2 linked regions of the Daphnia pulex genome follow. The protein of the gene in region 2 interacts with the protein of the main gene of each other region in a biochemical or structural test. Links are inferred from orthologs where the notes say so. Each region holds a gene or a part of one and is shown on either strand. Other genes may lie near its edges. The genes, in order: mutS protein homolog 5-like and mutS protein homolog 4-like.

The links.
Region 1: the proteins of mutS protein homolog 4-like (region 2) and mutS protein homolog 5-like form a complex in vitro, tested with the Homo sapiens proteins (2 studies listed by BioGRID). The link is inferred for Daphnia pulex from reciprocal best matches to the Homo sapiens genes MSH4 and MSH5.

Annotation. Positions count from the first base shown.
Region 1 is NC_060019.1:5,055,337-5,058,462, reverse strand, and holds the end of mutS protein homolog 5-like, read left to right. Parts: coding exon 1-146; intron 147-220; coding exon 221-432; intron 433-490; coding exon 491-536; intron 537-598; coding exon 599-737; intron 738-798; coding exon 799-1,027; intron 1,028-1,114; coding exon 1,115-1,267; intron 1,268-1,342; coding exon 1,343-1,705; intron 1,706-1,769; coding exon 1,770-1,958; 3' UTR 1,959-2,465; downstream 2,466-3,126. Other genes in the region: GTPase HRas, read right to left, coding at 2,698-2,772, 2,927-3,087.
Region 2 is NC_060021.1:11,182,476-11,186,304, reverse strand, and holds part of mutS protein homolog 4-like, read right to left. Parts: intron 3,398-3,829; coding exon 3,177-3,397; intron 2,497-3,176; coding exon 2,302-2,496; intron 931-2,301; coding exon 744-930; intron 513-743; coding exon 349-512; intron 1-348. UniProt on the Homo sapiens protein: Involved in meiotic recombination. Required for reciprocal recombination and proper segregation of homologous chromosomes at meiosis.

The sequences.
Region 1 (3,126 bases), on a different chromosome or scaffold from region 2:
CCTTTTTTACAATTTAGCTGAAAGCGAAAGATCGAGTAAGTGGTATCACGTGGTTAACGTCATTCATCGATTAATTAATTTCCAAGAATCGAAACGTGCCGGACGATGTGTTGTTAACTCTGGAGTGGATGAAGACCTTGATCGGCGTAACCTTTTTTAAATAACAATCAAGTAATCTCATAAGTTGAATAATTGTTATATTTTTCCCCAATTTAATTAGTGAAACGGGAACACAGCAATATGCAACGCATTTACACTGAAACCGTTAATCTCGAAATGGAAAACCTACCGCCTTTTATTGAACAAGGCGTTATTGAATTTTTCCCACATGTAGGACATTGTTTGTGCCTTCGTTCGTGGCTCCAAAAAGATCCAAATAGAAATTTGACGACGGCTGAAAATGATGTTAACATACCAGGACTTGAACTGAAAGTAAGATGTGTTGCTTATTTGAATTGAGAGGTTTCTTTAAAGTAACTGTTTTATTTAGTTCTTTACAAAGGAGAACGTTTATTTCAAAAGCCGACGTTGTTATGGTGAGGTATTCTATATGGTGCGCCTATTTGTATAATGGTTACTTTTAATCAACAATTAATAGAACTCGACGAAACGTTTGGAGATTTTGCTGCGACAATTGTTGCGCATGAAATGTCCGTGATGCTGTCAGGCTCCAAAGTTGTTGTTGAACATTACGGTGCACTGACTGAAGGAATCGAATTGGCGGCATACCTAGACGCGTATTGTTGTATACAAATTCATGCAAATCTGTTATATTAATTGTATACTGCATTTATTCAGGCTTCTTAGCTTATCAGTTCTGAGCTCCGAATTCGAAATGGTTCAGCCAGAACTAGTTGAAAATGTTAATCCTTGTGTTCATATTGAGAATGGACGACATATTTTGCTACAACTCGTAGCCGAACGCTTCAATCCTAATTCAACATACCTTGGAGGATGTGACGAAGGAGCCAAACGTATCAATATTATTTCAGGCCCTAATTCAAGTGGCAAATCAATATTTTTGAAGGTAGTTTGAAATTTAAATTCACTAGTTTAATTCTTATTTTTGTTTTATTTATTCATTATTTTTTTAAATAAAATAATTTTGTATTAGCAAACTGCCCTGATTGTTTATTTGGCCCAAATTGGATGTTTTGTGCCAGCTCAACGTGCACTAATAACACCGCTGAAACATATCTTTGTTGTTAGCCATTCTCCTGAAACTGTAGTGACATCTTTATCGCATTTTGGTGTCGAACTCTCAATGGTAGGTAGACTAACAAATTAATTTTTTTATATAATGTTTTTTAATCGCACATTTAAAAAAAATATATTTTTACAGATGTCAATGGCATCAAGAATGGCGACGAGTCATTCTCTTGTCATATTAGACGAATTTGGAATCGGATCTTCTCATGTAGATGGTTCTGCAATGTTCATTTCGTGCATGGAACACTGGATGAAACAAAATGATAAAAGCCCTCTTCTGCTTGTCGCTACGCACTTACACAATGCCGTGGAGTATTTGTCCCGGCATACATGGGTTCTCCAAAATACTCGGTTCTTGTCCATGGGTTATTTTCTTGATGAAGAGCAACTCGTTTTCCTGTATCAGCTTATTGAAGATATGTGCACAAATAGTTTTCCTTTAAGTGTCGCGTATGCTTCCGGATTGCCTAATTTTGTCATAAAGCGAGCTCAAGAGGTTAGTTATGTTTTTTTAACAAGAAAATATGACCATTTTTATGTTTTTTCGTGAATATTTCTAGATGCTGAAAGCAGTTGACAGTGTTGGTAATATGACACCCAATAACCTAATATGGAATGATGCAAAATGCTCAACTTTACGCAGAATTTCAGAGTCTTTCTTCGCAACTGATCCTTGGAATGTTGACGATTTAAAGCAGTTTACAAGACGAAATATTCTTGGATGTTGGAGTTCCGTTCCGAATAACTAACAATTATTTTGTCATAAAATCTATAAGTGATTGCGTTACCAATTTTCATTTTTGAAGTGATACATGTGTAAACTGTAAACTATATGTTACCAAGAACAAGAACAAATTTCATCCTCAAAATGAACTAAAAATTCCATTAATGCTGCAAGAATTATTTAATATTAACTACTAAGCCAGAAACGATACACACCACTTTCAAATCTCAGCTTGACGATCATGAATGTGTATTCGCTATTACATGTCTATCGCAAGACCATTTAAAAATAATGTTCGAAAATGAAGTTTTCTGAAAACGTCCAAATTCAAGTCCGTGATATGCTTTCAATTGCAGTCCACGGCAAATAGGGCAGTAAGAATTGCTACATCATTAAGAAACCGTGATTGATAAAACTTGTGAACGTACCAAAATATTACAAACAGGTAAAACGACACAAGCCACACTTACGCACATACTACGCTGAAAGAATTGACAAATACATCTTATATTCGCGGTCTAATTACCATTACCCTTGTGAACAAAAAAATACATCCCCTCCCAAGCCATTCAATCAAAAGGCCTGTTCAGTACCATCTGCTTAGCTACGAGTAGAAAATTTTACTTGTAGAATATTTTCAAACATCCAATCCAATTGCATTCGGCCATAGAATATGGCGTATAGCTCGACAATCAGAAAACACAACTAGAAGTTGCGTGTAAATAAGTTTTTGAACCATGGTACTTTCCTAATCACACCGACGATTACAGAATATGACATTTCAAAGGACGGAGCTTGCCGCCTGGCTTTTTCTGTTTGTCTCGGCCTCGGCGTTCCTTCTAAAAACAAAAAAAAAAACAAAAAATAAAAAAAAAACACCACAACAATTATTATTCCATACATACTTCACTTGTTTTTAATCAAATGAACATGTTTTAAACATTATTCACAAATAATAATACTATTTAATAATAGTAGAAAGTAAAAACTTACATCTTTGCGTATCTCTCTTACTAAAGTGTAGAATGCATCATCTACACCCATGCGAGTCTTGGCAGATGTCTCAACAAAAGGTATTCCATAATTTTTTGCAGCTTCCCTTGCTGAGGCCATATCAACAGCACGAGTGGGTAAGTCACACTTGTTGCCAACCACTATTGACAATTAAAAAAACAAAAAAATAAAAAATAAAT
Region 2 (3,829 bases):
CGGGCCGAAAAAACCTTCAAACCGAGTTATTAATCATGCCGTCGGTCCAATGGCCCATTCCCACCGTGTGGTAGACGTAAAATGACAAACAGGGGCATAAGGTTCGAAACGAACGAGGTGCTGCCGGAGAAACGCGAATAACCGGCGGCAGTTATATTCCGTCCGAGAGTCGTCAAAACTTTTTAGCGCTTCACTACGCCCAACAACGACGACCGAAAAGTCCCCGCTTTTCTGCAGCAGCAGCTCCCATCAACACATTTTGTTTTGCCATTTTTCTCTTTCATCCGACTAGGTGCTGGGCGGCATTTGTTTGAGAGCAAATAATAGAAAAATCAAGTGAAAACTTACGCAGACAAAGACGGGCGGCAGTTGCGGAGGTGGCGGAGGTTGGTAGTTGGTTTCTCCCTTCTTCCTCGGCTGGCCCAGCGTCTGTTGCAAGTGATAGCCGCGCTGTGCCGTGTTGGCCAAAGTCAGCGGCATTTGGTACTTTTGTGACAGCTCCTCCACGTACTCTGCAAACGGCAAAAGGATGAAAACAAAAGTTGCTCACGTACTGTACACGCGACAAGAGAGAAATGGTGGCAGTCTAGCAGCTCTTCCGGATTGTAATCGACTCCCGGCTTTTACCGAGAATTGAAAATTTATATGGTATTCACTTTCAAGTTCGCGTGAACTATATGAATCATTTGACACACCGTTTGATTATTCAGTGTGTGTGAGCGTTGGATGAAACTTGAACTTGCCTTCCATCTCTGTTTCGAGATCGCTGTGAGTCCGCCGACAAACGTCCAACATGAGATCGACGCCAGTTTTGACGCTGCGGAATCGCTGGCGTTGCATGCCTATTTTGCCTTTGACAGGTTTCACTCGCTCGTCCAACACGTTTTGAATGCACGACAGCAGCGCCTCATCATCAATGCTGGACAGCTCCTTATTATTGCAGAAAAAGAAAGGAGAAAAATAAATCAAAGCACGAAAGATCTCCGCACTTGCAGACAACCAACAAGTCAAACAACGACAAAAGGACCAACTCGAAAATGGAAGCCTTTGGAAAATGAAATCCCCCGGAATTTCATTTGGTGAAATCCGCATTGTCCGGACAGTCGACTAGATAATGCAATGTCCTACAACATACAAAGTTCCATCATCACGGAGAAGGGCTGGGTGACGGGACTGCACATAGAACTCTAGTAGACGGGGGAGGGTGAAAGCTCCTTAGAATCAACTTGGACATGTCTCTCTCCATTCAGTTCTGACTTGATGCTCTTATCTTTCTCCTTTCAATGTAATATGGCCCGAGTGAAATTGCGAAGGAGGAATACGCGCGCACAAGGCACAAGGATTTCATGATTTCATCTGTTGTGCAGGACGCCTGTCGACTACTCGGATCAATAATGGAATTTCAAGCATTTGACGAACAAACGCTTGGCAATAGGAAATAATAATACGACCCGATGGACTGAAAAGGAATTGCTTCCGGCGGAGAACAAAAAAGGAAAAAGGAATTTCAACTTTCGGTGATTTTTCATGGCTATAGCGATTTTGGAAAAAGTGAATATTTCCCCATCGTAAAAACTAGGGGGGGGGGGGGAATGATGAACTTTTACTTTCGAATTCCACATAGAGAATAAGAAATGGCCCGGAGATTGTGACACTAATGAGAACATGGGGCAGATGTGGACGCCAAAAAAAAATGAACGAAAGAGAAAAAAGGTTACGGGGTCCGTCCTTTATGAGCGAGAGAGAAAAAGTTTCTTCCTAACCAGACTCTCTTCCAAATTTGAAAAGTGATTTGCCGTGTTATTGTCAGACTACTCTTAAGGTCGAGTAGTGGCGGAGTCGTCTCTTGGCAACCGACGTTCCACCTTTGACTTCTTTTTTTATTTTGCGCTTGGCGAGTCTTTTACGCCTAACCAGCCACACCCACACGCCCTGCAGACAGTAAAGTTTCGGAACAGGTACACACACACACACCCCACATATATAGGATGAAATCAATCAACGGGACAACTAGCCCGTGTCGAGCTCCCGAGGGCCTACAACTCTCTTTCGCTCCGTCACACCGTCATCCAGAGGGAAACGAGAATCTCTTTTCTTCTTACCCATCTACTCCCTGTACCTATAAACTTTTATATTGGATTCTCCGGTGATGGAAGTGTGATAGAATTGATCCTCTTCACGGACCAACGGCCACTACAACAAGGACAATATTTTATCCAAAAATATTCCGGTTCTTTTTTTAAAATTGAAAAACAAACTTTGTTCGGGGGGGCTACGGAAATAAATGGGAGCGGTTGTTACTTTGGCCAAGGCGACAATCAATGGGCTGTTGGCTTTAGCCAGGGCGGATCCAAGTGGTGACACTAGAGAGAGGATGTGCTTGAGGGCCACGACGGCGTTGATCCTTTGCTCGACGAACGACGGACTAGGATTCTTGGGCATGACGACGCACTGGTTGACGGCTCGTTCAACATCGACGAAACGGGACAGAATCTCCTACAACAACAAAACCAAAAAGAAAAATTATAATAACCAAATCTCACGTAGCCTTTTCGGGTCCGAATCAATGAGAAAAATAATTGAATCCGAGAGAATAATAATAATAGAGAAAAAGGCAAGAAGAAAAGGAAAAGATAATAACCAGAAGGTAAGAGATAAAGAGAAAGAAAGAAAGAAAAAAAGGGAAACAATTAATTGGAATCTCATCAGCTTAGCGCGTGACAAAGGAGCTTAGACCTCCTCACATATATATCTTGTAATTCTTAATATATATTATATAACATGGGGCAGGAAAAGGAAAGTTTCCATTTCGGGTCTGGAAGAGCCAATGAAGAAAAGAGAGAAGCCAATCCCGGGACTATGGAACCAATCTATTTCTCGTCGTTCATCCCGCGCCCGCCTTTCGCTCAATTCCCCGTTCTGTCGGTTAGGCCGCCGGCCGCGGCGGCTGTAACAGTCGGGGAATCTGTCTGGTGGCTGGTAATAATTCGATTTGTTTTGGGTGAGAATAGAGACAAGAGGAATCGAGGATGGCCGGCCCCAGGAATCCAATCGGTAAGCTGACGCACGCAATGCTTTACGCCCACCATCCCCCCCTGCTACCCGGTCCTGTTAATCTTTTCTCTTTTATTTGTTTGTTTTTAATGGTTGATAAGTTGGTGACTATGTTTTCGTACCTTGATGGGTTGATGGAGGTCGGTAGGACGTGACGCAAGCTCCTCGACGGCATCCAGACGTAGACGGATGGCCTCCACATCCGTCATGGGTTCCAGTAAATTCGAGCGGAGTAGCCGCTTACCAGCCGCCGTTTGGCACGAATTCAACGCCGAAAGTAGAGACGGCCCGCCCGTTGGATTCAAACTGTTCACCACTTCCAGACGGTTGGCCGTTTCCGAATCTAAAACGAGAACACACAAGCGGAGGTGACACACACAGACCAATATACAAAAGATAAACAACCACATCAAAAGAGTTGTGAAAACTAAAAACAAAAAAAAAAGCCAAAAGCAGAAAACACATAAACAAAGAAATGCCATTTTGCTCAGTCACGCGACACGAAATATGTGTATAGTAAATACAAGACAATGTTGTTCAGCCCGGTTGGAATAAACAAGTAGTTGACGGGGACTGGAAGCCGAGGCTCTCATGATGAAAAGTTTCCATTGTTTCATTAGACCACCGCATTTTGTTTTACTCCTCTTTCTTTCGCCCGAGCTGGATCGTGTTGTTGTCAAGTGAACCAACTTTGTGTGCGCTGTTCAGATTTGTTTTTTTGCTTCCCTTTTTTGATAGTTGGCTATTGTGATCCTAGCGACCGCAACCGCTTCGG